3 linked regions of the Macaca fascicularis genome follow. The protein of the gene in region 1 purifies or fractionates together with the protein of each later gene. This does not show direct contact. Links are inferred from orthologs where the notes say so. Each region holds a gene or a part of one and is shown on either strand. Other genes may lie near its edges. The genes, in order: GOLGA7, CLDND1 and ZDHHC5.

Region 1 (4,113 bases):
AATCAGCTCCAACAGCAGAGCAATCAGTAAAATTTCTAGGGTAAGTAGTAGAGAAACAGAAACCTTTCAATTTTTCATCAAAGCAAGGAAAGTTTAAACCTGTAATTTAAATTTAATCTCAACACACACACACACACACACAGACCCATACACACACAATCAAAGCTTTTCTAGTGGTTTAAAGCATAAGCTAGTGTTTTAACCCAAACATTTAAAAAGAAAAAAGAAATTCACAGGCACAATTGAATAGTGCCATGTAACATTCCATATAGTACTCAGTACCACAGGCAGTTCTGGGCTACACAGAGTCAAAGAGGTAAAAGGACTCCAGAATTTAGAAACATCAATTTCCTGAGAAGAATCAGTGGAGCACTGTAACTACATTGTGCTTTTGTACTTAGGTTACAAAATAAAGGCTCTGCCACACACAGAGTGGAAGGCTAATGTCTGATTCTGCGTACACACATTTGCTCAAATATGAGGTGTAAGTGTTGCTTTAAAACCTTAAAGCAAATGAATCTTTAATGTCCAAATAATGGCGGTAAAAAAAGAATACTTTATATTCTGATTTTGAAGTACATAAAATTGTATGTCATAATCTCCATGAGAGGCTTAAAAATAAAACATTTGATTGATTCCATGTAAATCTTTTTATTTTATTTATTTTTTGAGACAGAGTCTTGCTCTGTCGCCCAGGCTGGAGTACAATGGCATGATCTCGGCTCACTACAACCTCCGCCTCCCAGGTTCCAGAAATTCTTCGACTTCAGCCTCCTGAGTAGCTGGGATTACAGGTGCCCGCCACCACACCTGACTAATTTTTGTATTTTTAGTAGAGATTGGGTTTCACCATGTTGGCCAAGCTGGTCTTGAATTCCCCACCTCAAGTGATGCACCCGCCACGGCCTCCCAGAGTGCTGGGATTACAGGCGTGAGCCACCGCGCCCAGCCTGATTCCATGTAAATCTTAACATGTAAAACACATCAGCTGTGATGTTAAATTATTTTAAAACAACATTCAGTAGCTCTAACCAACTGGCCACTTGCTGAATTTCTAGCTCTTCTAACCACTGTAGATAGTTCCACCTACTGTCACGCTGAGTTAACTCATAACATAGTTGACAAGATACTGCAGCATTTAAATGGCATTTCAGAAACAAGTCACCTCACCATCTTTTAAAGGCATATTTGATCAATTTGCAATTCAAGAAACATATTTGGGCCACTAACCTGCCCATGGTTATGTCAAACTGAAGGAAACTATAATGGATCATTGTTGATTTCCCAACCATGGCAATCAGGCAGTGCAACCCACCTCACTGTAAACTGTCTGTAAATAACTGCTACACATTTCTCTACACAGACTCATCCACACCTACTTATCCCATGACCAGCATCCCTCAGTTCCACACCCAACGAATGCCTAATCACCTCTCAGGCCCTCGCCCTCCCTGTCACAGAGGAGGGAGCCACAAAACCTGCTTCCAGCTAACCAGAAATTGATCCCTGAACAGGAAACACAATCTACATGACATGGGTCAAGACCAAAAGAATCTTTGGTTGAGTGTACATATGTGGGCACACAAAAACACAGGCAGGCACGCACATACTCCATTACCTCTACAAGATACAATGGTTTTTTAAAAAAACGTTTGCTAAGTCTGAAGGAGAAGCAAATTCCATTCTTACATTTTTGCATGCAATGTTACCCAAAGGACCTACATCCTGATGGCAATTTTGATATGCAAGACAAAACACGTGGCTCCCAGTGAATGTGATAAGTTTAAGGCCTTGTTCTGAGATATTTTCCTGTCCAGGCCTATCTAACGCTCTACGTCTTTAAGGTTCCAAGAAAGCCTAAATGCACCGCCTGGCAATGCACCTAATAAACCCTTTCAGTCAAACAGTGCGGCCAGCACAGAGGCAGCAAACACCAGTTATGAGAATGATGATGATTTATCTTGCGCGGAGAGGTAGGAAGATATAGCTTAAAACCTGGTGGCTGAGGTGGCCTGGAGCCTCAGGAATTGGCTCCTCAACGCTGCCGACAATTACCCGGGGTGGGGATTTGAGGGAGTGCAGCAGGGGAAGACTGCTGGATCCAGATTCCCGGCACCGGGCAACAAAGTTCCATAAGGTCGTCAACCCCGGCGATCGGCGTATATTATTCTTGCTCCTCCAAACACCTGTCTTGCTTAGTGGCTCTCTTCTTACACCTTTGGCCAAGGCCCCTTCTGTGCCTGGCCCTCCCCAGAACTGCTGGATCCTCAACGGCCCGGTTGTCGCCCACACCCCTCCCGTCCCCGGTGAGTCTCTCTCCCTCGCCAGAGCAGGCGTGGGGAGCCAGGTTGCGTACCCGGTTCTCCAGCTCCGCAGGGAACTTGGTCTGGAACTGGCAGCGTGTGCCACTGCTGTAGTCTCGCTGAATGAACACCTTTCCGGACACCGGCGCCTGCTGCGGCCTCATGGCGAGGACTGGACACCCCGCGCTGCGGGGTCGGGGGAACACCAACCGCGGGTCAGAGCCCCGGCCTGGACCCGGGACTCCGACCCGCCAGTCCCTCGCCCCCACTCGCCGCCCAAAACAGCCCAAGGCCTCCTCTGCCCCGCTCCCCTTCACCCATGCTGTCACCGCGGGCCTTAGCTGCCGCCTGGCCCAGGCCCCGCGCCCCCCAACAACCCGGTTCGGCCCGGGAAACAAACCCGCCTCCTCTGCCCTCCAGCTGCTGTCGCACCGCCTTCGCCGTCACTTACGTCCTGCCGCAAAAAGCCTCTTCCCCGCCCCTCAGCTCGGCCTCCTACCTCAAGTCTGGGACCCACCCTCTCCTCTGGCCGTAAAGCCACCCTGCCGAGGCTGCGCGCTGCGGGGCTGGGCCGAGGAAGGGAAACGCTGTGGGCGGGGCCAGGGCCGACCCCGCCTTCCGCCCTCGGAGATTGTTTCCGGAAGGAGAGAGGCGGGGCGAGCTGTGGGGCTGCGGCAGGCGCGAGCGCGCGGGGGTGTGAGGGACGAAGTTTCCTGGCTGTGTCACTTGTGGCAGCTGGTTCCCGATCGCTGATTGTGAGGGGTTATTTTCGTTCTTGATTGGACGTTGCAACTTACGTGTGGGTTGTGCCACCCAACTCATACGTAAAACGAAAAACAAAACATAAAGAAAAAACAACACCCCATCCCCAAACCCTCAAACATAAACTGCTCATCGTGTTCAGAAGTAGAAGGGCTCTGGGGATGGATCCGTTTGGTCCCTAGACTCGTAAGAAAGGGTCAGGAAGTGAGGACGAAGAACCTGCGTGGGCCCCAGCGTTGGCCGTCCCCGCCCCTTCCCGACCCTTCTTTGGGGGCGGCTTTCCTCTCACCCCACGTTTCCACCCAGCTCCCATCCACGCCCCTCGACGGCGGCTTTCCTCTCACCCTCATTTCCACCCAGCCGCCACCCATGCCCCTCAGGTGACCCAAGGGGACAGACAAGCAGTTCTGCCCTCGTTGCCCACTGGCCCCTACTTTACTCAGCATCTCTTTGCAAGGCAGCCAAAGAAACCCCACCTTACCTTGTCTCCTGCTAATACAACCTTTCAGTACCATGTCTTATATATTTAATACAGTTTAAATATCCTGCCTTTTAAATATGAAAAATTCTCCCATTGTGTTTTAAAAACAGCTTTTTCGAGATATAAATGGCATACAATAAACCACACATATTTAAAGCAGTGGATTTGATAACTTTGGACATATGAATACACCCATAAACCATTGTCACAATCAAGATAGTAAAGCTCCATTGCCCTGAAAAGGTTCCTCCAGCTCCTGTGTAATTCCTCCCTCCTGCCTCTCCCCAGACCCCATTTCCCAGGCACTGATCCACCTTCTGTCACTATACATTAGTTTCATTTCCTTGAAATTTATATAAATTGAATCATATAGTGTGTACCCCCTTTTTTGCCTGGCTTCTTTCACATAGACTATTTCGAAGTCCATCTGTTGTTGTGTTATCAATAATTCATTTCTTTTTGATGCTGGATAGCTATTCAATTCTATGGCCATCCCACAGTTTGTTTATCCATTCTTCTGTTGATGGACATTTTGGGTTGCTTCCAGTTTTGGTATGTTACAAATAA
Region 2 (4,176 bases), on another chromosome or scaffold:
GGAGTATAAAGGCATTTATGCGTCTTACTACACACTGACAATTTGCCTGTGCCCCTCCGCCACTGACAAATTTTTTTTGACTGTATGCTGTATGTAAAAATCCAGAGTCATGTTAGAATATATTTGGCTACTAGCTTATTATGTACTGCATATGAATATCGGTTCACTCAGGTGAAAGAAATGTAACTACAGATAGAGAAACATACCATGCCTTTAATCTGTCAAAGTGGTAGAAATTTAGTATCAACTTGAAGCTCCCATCTTTCTCCTGTGCTAAATTACAAGGCATTAGGGGACGGAGTGGAGGTTTGAGAGCCCCTCTGGTCCTCGAGTCAGTTTTCTCTGTAGGTTACCGTTGAGAAATCCACCATTTGCTGGTCCCAGGCCACGTTAATAGTTCCACTCATGTTATCGTTAAGATGTACCTGCTTCCTGTCCGTGAATTTCTGTGTTAAACCTGAGGGCTCAGAAACATTGTGTCCTGTGTGCCACACATCATCTGCAATCTCCAATGCTGTCCTTGACCTTATCTACTTGAGTGATGTTCCCCAAATTTCAGTCTTTTTCCTACTATACCCACAATTTTTTATTCATTTTTTGACATATCTGGTATGCTCAGTATTATTAATATTTTTAAAATTAAATGAAAAAAATTTAAAAGGAACAACATTACTGCAATAGAAAACTAGTATCACTTGTCATAAAAAATAGGCAGCTACAAACACACATTTTATGAAACCCAAATAATGTCATTACATTCTTGATGGATACTGTCTGCCAGGTCACATACTTCTTAGCCTAAACTTATGCAGTAAAACGAAAAGGACTCTGCTCCAATGGGAGGGATTCTGGGAGAGGGAAATAAAATGGGTCAACGTTTCACAAGTAGAATCCCATTTTTGTTCATTTATACTTAAATCTAGAGGCAGGGTGGTGTGATAGGGAAAGCACAGGCCTAAAAGTCAGACCTAAGTTATACAGGTCACGGTCATTGACTAGAGGTGACCGGAAACCGGTCCGCTTTACTTTCTGGACCATTGTTCCTTCCTCCCTAAAATGCAAGAATCCAACAGCCTAGACTTCCCTTCTGCGCACCGGCTTGCCCTGAGGAGCTGAACTACATCTCCCACAATGCGCCGCGCGCGGCGCCAGGATGCCTATCGCCGCCTCAGACAGCTTTCAGTCTGTCCCTCCTACAACTCCCACAAGGCCCCTCGGTCCCGGGCCGCGGCCCGGCCCGGAGTGGGGGCGGAGGCGGAGGCGCGGGAGTTATGGAGGGGGCGGGCTCTGCAGGGAAGTGCGTCAGAGGAGGCGCGGGGAGAGTAGGGTGCTGTGGTCTGAGCTAGAGGGTGAAGCTGGCGGAGCAGGAGGATGGGCGGTGAGTGAGCGGGACCTGCGTCGCTGGGCGGGGGTCGCGTCGCGGTTCGATGTTCCCGGCGGTTTGAAGAGGGGCCCCCTTCCCGGGCGTGGTCGGGACTGGGCGGGTTCCGAGCGGCGGGTTTGTCCCTGGGCCGAGCCCTCTAGGGCGGGGCCTGGTCGGGTACTGGGGGACTCTGGATGGGGGCCGCACACGACTGCCCCGCCCCAGCCCTGGCCTTCTCCGGCCCCGCTGTGAGGCCCGGGAGGTGACCGCTCCAGGCGTCCGGCTTCGATGAACCGCCGTTCCCAGTGCTGGGACCCTTTAAGGTCATTTGAGAGCACCAGGATGAAGGGGGGATTTTTAAAAAATCAAAATGCAAATCCAACTTTTTGAGTTATCGTTGTCATTGCCCTTACCTTTCCTGAGTCAGTTCCAATTTTCCAAACTCAGCAACCCCAGTTTGCGAGTCTGTTTTCGTGCACCTTTGTAAGGTGTTTGGTGCGGTCACGGTGTATACTTGCCGTGTAGTATTTGGCTCAGCGCGATCCGCCTTGAGTCATTTTACCGCGGCCATTTACTACTGCCGTTGAGCCCTGTCCACGCCTTGGGAGTGTTGATATTTTGAGAGTTTTCTGTCTGGCTGAGGAGGGATCATTTAGTTTTTGCGGACATATGTTGCACTTAGGGTTTAGGGAGAGAGCAAGGTTTCAGTTGAGGAGGTTCAGAAGTATAAGGAATAGGGAGAGTAGATAGGAGTGAAGCATTTGGCAGCGTAAAGAAGCGTGGCTTAGCTTTAATGGATTAGGGAGAGATTGCTATCTAGCATTATTATATGTTATTGTTCTCTTTGCTATTTTATACACCTAGAACAACCTTTCCCTCGGGGTTAACAAACATCTTCAACTCTGTTTTCCGTATGGCTCCTGACTCTTACCTTTGTTTTAGGAGGCTTCCCTCTTCAGAGGAAACTGGGAGAAGCCAATTGCCACTGCTTTTTCCTGTGTCTTTTTAACACTCAAACCCAGAACACTTAATCCTCTGCAGCTCGTGCAAAAATTCAGTCTGTGATTTAAAATGTGTGCACGGTAACACTGCTGACCATGGGCATGTCTATTGTTTGTATCTGTAATGTGTATGTCCATTTCAGTGTTGTCTGTTTTAGTATGCAGGTGATAGACTAGAGAACAAGACCTCTGTCTCCGTAGCATCCTGGGTATGTGAGCATTCAATAAGTACTTTTATGAGAATGAGTTTTGTTTTAAGCTTAATTAAAAACATGCTTGCTTTCTAAAAAAAAAATTCTTAATGGTTATATGTACGAAGGGATGGGGAATTGGGTAAAGGGTGCATTTGGAATAATTCAAAATAGTTTTTCTTATTTGTCCTTTAAGACTTTCTTCTTTCTTCAACTTTTAAACAGAGCAGTCTGAATGCCAGAATGGATAACCGTTTTGCTACAGCATTTGTAATTGCTTGTGTGCTTAGCCTCATTTCCACCATCTACATGGCAGCCTCCATTGGCACAGACTTCTGGTATGAATATCGAAGTCCAGTTCAAGAAAATTCCAGTGATTTGAATAAAAGCATCTGGGATGAATTCATTAGTGATGAGGCAGATGAAAAGACTTACAATGATGCACTTTTTCGATACAATGGCACAGTGGGATTGTGGAGACGGTGTATCACCATACCCAAAAACATGCATTGGTATAGCCCACCAGAAAGGACAGGTATTTCTCTTATTTTAACTTCTCTCTTCTTTACCTGGTTAATAATGGACAAAATGACCTAGTGATTGCCCAGTTACATGTAAGCAGGTTTATTGGTTCTCTCTCTCCTTAAAGAAATAAATCATGTGTATCTTCTCTTTCTACTGCCTTCTCTCCCCAACCTCTTTGCATTACCATGGTACTCATCAATATTGGTTGGATGAGGAACTTTTCTTATCTTGGGAAAGCCATTAAATTTTTTTTTATTTACTCACACATTAAAACACTTTTTATTAATCTAACACATCATAAAGAAATAGTTGGAAAAGTACATCGAAAGACTTTAAAAATATTTGGTAACTAGTAAAAGGACTACCATCGAAAATCAACTCAACAAATTGTCCTTTTATGGGTTAGCTGTATTATAATACATATCTATCATTTACTCCTGTATCTTAGGGGATATAATTTGACCAGCTCTACATTTAAATCTATGTAGATGAGACTGTTTTACAGCAATCTTGATACAGAGTTTGTAGGTTACGAAATTTGTATTACAGAAGTAAAAAAAAAAAAAAACTAAGTTTTTCAGGTTTATTTTGCAGGCATTCTTATTTAACGCTTAAAGTTTTTAATTTCCACTTATTAAAATGGTAGCCTTAGAACTCTTTGTAAGGAACAACGTTAATGACTACTTCTGTTGGCCACTTAGTGGGGAAGCATTGTATTCAAATCATAGCAGAAGAGGCTTGTGTTACCATATATCAAAAGGATGATAATATGTCACTGTATCTGGAAAAAAAAGGAGGTAATTTGGAAGGAAAGGAGAGAAAGTTGGTTAAAATTCATTGTAAAATGTTCAGTTTGACTTGTGAGGGTACAGGAGCACTTGATATTGGAGTGTTACCATTTAGTCATTCATTAAACAAATAATTTATTGCATGCCTCCATGTTCCAGGGCCTCTTAGCTGGGAGAACATCAGGAAAGAGAACAAAGTCCTTACTCCTGGGGAGCTAGCATTCTAATAAAGGATGACAGGCAATGAACAGAATATAACAGTATAAACAGAATAAACAATTATTTAGTATGTTAAAAAATGACACGTG
Region 3 (3,646 bases), on another chromosome or scaffold:
ATCACACCACTGGACACCAGCCTGGACAACAGAGTGAGACTCTGTCTCAAAAAAAAAGATATTTTAGGGCAAAATTCAGCCTTTATCTCTATTGTCTTAGTATCTCTTTGAGAGTTTCTTTTCTTTTCTTTTTTTTTTATTATACTTTAAGTTCTAGGGTACATGTGCACAACATGCAGGTTTGTTACATATGTATACCTGTGCCATGTTGGTGTGCTGCACCCATTAACTCGTCATTTACATTAGGTACATCTCCTAATGCTATCCCTCCCCCACCCCGCCCCCCCACCCCACAACAGGCCCCAGGGTGTGATGTTCCCCACCCTGTGTCCAAGTGTTCTCATTGTTCAATTCCCACCTATAAGTGAGAACATGCAGTGTTTGGTTTTCTCTCCTTGAAACAGTTTGCTCAGAATGGTTTCCAGCTTCATCCATGTCCCTACAAAGGACATGAACTCATCCTTTTTTATGGCTGCATAGTATTCCATGGTGTATATGTGAGAAATGGCCTCTATGCTTACATGAGGAACTAGGACTACCTCACTCCCTACCATTAATCTCTACATAATCATGAAAAGTATTCATTAAGCATCTCTTTATGGAAGCACTACACTGCACACTAATCAGAGGGCTAAAGACACATGCCCTGCTCTTCAGGGGTCTCTCGTCACTTCTCTCCATACCTGTTCATTGGTTGTGCGTCCCCTGGCCACCAGCACCACGTGAAATCCCGTGAGGCCAGCTACAGGGATGAAGAATAAGCCAGCCACACACATTACTGCCATTCTGATGCCAAACAATCAAGGAGAACAGAGCAACATGATCTCACTTTCCCCAGCTCCTACTGCAGCCATTTTCCCTTCAGCCCTCATTCCTCCCCCTTCCAATCCCACAACCTAAAAGGCCTTGAAGGATACGTGACAGCCGTGCGGACCCCTGAGAGTTCCTCTATGTGGTAGAGGACATAAAGGAGGCCAAAGCCAAACACACCCATAATGTGGGCTGTCAGGGAAAGGAGGAAGAGGAAGAAATAACGGTAGTTCCGGCGACCAATACAGTTGTTCACCCAGGGGCAGTGATGATCAAATTCCTAGGGACAAAAAGAGACAGATGAGAGGCATCCCTGGACCATAGCATTAAATTACTTCTGTCAAGAAAAGAAACAAATGGCAGCTAAGTTTTGGTTTTAGTAATTTATGATCATGGTCATCAATTAGTCCAAAATTAAATCCAGTTTATTTTGCTCTATAAATCTGCAAGGGAGACCCTCCAGAGGTTGGTCAAAGGCCAAGGCCAAACCAGGCATAGTGGCGCACACTTGTAGTCCCAGCTACTGGGGAGGCTGGGGCTTGAGCCCAGGAGTTCAAGGCTGTAGTGAACTATGATGACTGCCTGTGAATAGCCACTATACTGGGCAACATAGCAAGACCCCACTTCCAAAAAAAAAAATGAAAAGGCCAAGGCCAGTTCTCAAAGTTTATCCCATGTGACCAAGGAACTCTAAAAGTGACGAATGTCAGCGGCTTTGCAAAAACATCAAGATTCATGAGAAAAGAGGATTAGATGGAGAATTTGGCAGGTAACTGCTTACAGCTAAGTGAAAATGGAATGGAAAAAGGACAAGGGATACAGAAGGACAGGCAGGAAAAGAACTACAACAAATTGAAACGCAACGGCATGATTTTCTGGAAGAGAAAACTCAAAGCCAGGATAAATAACCAAAGATGAGCCAACAGCTAGAAGGCTAGAACTATAAATCCTGGTGTCAAGAAAGCCTACACCCTGCTGGTGCAATGGCTCATGCCTGTAATCCCAGCACTCTGGGAGGCCAGGGCATGAGAATCACTTGAAGCCAGGAATTTGAGACAGTCCAAGCAACACAGGGAGACCTCATCACTACAAAAAGTATAAGTAAATAAAAAAGTCTACGCCCATACTGAGTTAAAGCTTCCCTCCTGCAATAATATTTATGCTCTGCCTCTCATGTTATGTCATTACTAACACCATGTGACAGAGCTGGACCATGTGGCCAACCTAGTTAGACAGGACTATACCACATCCAAAGCTAAGAATCTGTTATATGGTTAGGATGAAGACAGTGAAGGTTAAGCATGAAGTCTTACCCCACCTAGGGTGCTTACCTCCACACAGTTGTCACAGACACTGCAATGGGAACATCGAGGGGGACGGTAGAAGCGGCAGGTGGCACACCATTTCATGCGCACCTGGATGCCCTTGATCTCCACTGTTTTGTAAAGGGGAGCTCGGAAATCATCTTCCTTGTCCTCATCCTCCTCAGCTGTAGAGAGGAAAAGTCAATTAAAAACAACTATGCCAGAACTGTAGTAAGTGCTAGGGATCCAATGATGTTTAAAATATAGCTTCTGCCTTTGAGGAATTCACATTCTAATGAGTGAAACTAGGGACTAGGAACTATAAGACTGTGAGGTCAGGTTTTTATACAACACTATGGGAACACGGATGAGGAAGCAATTTATTCTGCATTGGGAAGTGAGGTTCAAGATAAAATGACTCAAGAGGTAGCTCTTGTATGCATCTGCTGGTGTTATTTGGCTTAAGTATATGAATATATTTTAAACAAATAGTTTACATATCAAAGCACATACATAATGAGTTTACATAAGAGTTCAGTATCTATATTTATATGAGTGAACTATAGCAATTCAGGAGAGGAACTAACATCAACCTTTTTTTCCAGGCACAAATACTTTGCCCAGCCAACCGTGGTGGCTCATGCCTGTAATCCTAGCACTTTGGGAGGCCAAGAAGGGCGGACTGCCTAAACTCAGGAGTTCAAAACCAGCATGGCCAACATGGTGAAACCTCGTCTCTACTAAAAATACAAAAGTTAGCCGGGTGTGGTGGCGTGCGCCTGTAGTCCCAGCTACTCAGGAGGCTGAGGCAAGAGAATCGCTTGAACCCGGGAGGCGGAGGTTGCAGTGAGCTGAGATCACGCCACTGCACTCCAGCCTGGGCAACAGAGTGAGACTTCATCTTCGTCTTAAAAAAAAAAAGAAAAAACCAAATCCCTTCCCAAAATGTCTTCCCCTACTCTATGAATTTTCTATATATATATACATATTTCAGTATTATTTGTTGCACAAGCATAAATGCCCTTTCTCTCAATTTTCAGCTATCAGAAACCCACCATCCCATTTCAAAACTTAAAAGACATTATTTGCCTTCTCATATACAATTAGCAATTTTTTTGTTTTTTGTTTTGTTTTTTTGAGATGGAGTCTTGCTCTGTTGCCCAGGCTGGAATGCAAGGACGTGATCTTGGCTCACTGCAATCTCCCCCTCCCAGGTTCAAGTGATACTTCCGTCTCAGCCTCCCAATAGCTGGAATTACAGGCGCATGCCACCTCGGCGGCTAATTTTTTGTATTTTTAGTAGAGACAGAGTTTTACCGTGTTCCCCAGGCTGGTCTCAAACTCCTGAGCTCAGGCAATCCACCCGCCTCAGCCTCCCAAAGTGCTAGGATTACAGGCATGGGCCACCGCACCCAGAGCAATTTTTATTTTTTATTAACCTAGAAAAAAAAAATGTGGGAAGGAAAAATTAAATAAATGATAGTGTGGGATTACAAATTAAGTTTTCAAATTTTACTGATTTCTTTTCATAG

The links.
Region 2: the proteins of GOLGA7 (region 1) and CLDND1 purify together in Homo sapiens (affinity purification with mass spectrometry; 3 studies listed by BioGRID and IntAct, counting the BioPlex papers as one, with this or other methods). This does not show direct contact. The link is inferred for Macaca fascicularis from reciprocal best matches to the Homo sapiens genes GOLGA7 and CLDND1.
Region 3: the proteins of GOLGA7 (region 1) and ZDHHC5 purify together in Homo sapiens (co-immunoprecipitation; 3 studies listed by BioGRID and IntAct, with this or other methods). This does not show direct contact. The link is inferred for Macaca fascicularis from reciprocal best matches to the Homo sapiens genes GOLGA7 and ZDHHC5.

Annotation. Positions count from the first base shown.
Region 1 is NC_088382.1:44,991,505-44,995,617, reverse strand, and holds the start of GOLGA7 (golgin subfamily A member 7), read right to left. Parts: upstream 2,812-4,113; 5' UTR 2,755-2,811; intron 2,743-2,754; exon of another isoform or gene 2,490-2,742; 5' UTR 2,468-2,489; coding exon 2,357-2,467; intron 1-2,356. UniProt on the Homo sapiens protein: May be involved in protein transport from Golgi to cell surface. The ZDHHC9-GOLGA7 complex is a palmitoyltransferase specific for HRAS and NRAS.
Region 2 is NC_088376.1:184,490,546-184,494,721, forward strand, and holds the start of CLDND1 (claudin domain-containing protein 1), read left to right. Parts: upstream 1-1,301; 5' UTR 1,302-1,371; coding exon 1,372-1,378; exon of another isoform or gene 1,379-1,686; intron 1,687-2,507; exon of another isoform or gene 2,508-2,529; coding exon 2,530-2,573; intron 2,574-2,780; coding exon 2,781-3,090; intron 3,091-4,176. UniProt on the Homo sapiens protein: Plays a role in negatively regulating the permeability of cells to small molecules.
Region 3 is NC_088388.1:15,915,552-15,919,197, forward strand, and holds part of ZDHHC5 (palmitoyltransferase ZDHHC5), read right to left. Parts: intron 2,300-3,646; coding exon 2,142-2,299; intron 1,091-2,141; coding exon 918-1,090; intron 787-917; coding exon 684-786; intron 1-683. UniProt on the Homo sapiens protein: Palmitoyltransferase that catalyzes the addition of palmitate onto various protein substrates such as CTNND2, CD36, GSDMD, NLRP3, NOD1, NOD2, STAT3 and S1PR1 thus plays a role in various biological processes including cell adhesion, inflammation, fatty acid uptake, bacterial sensing or cardiac functions.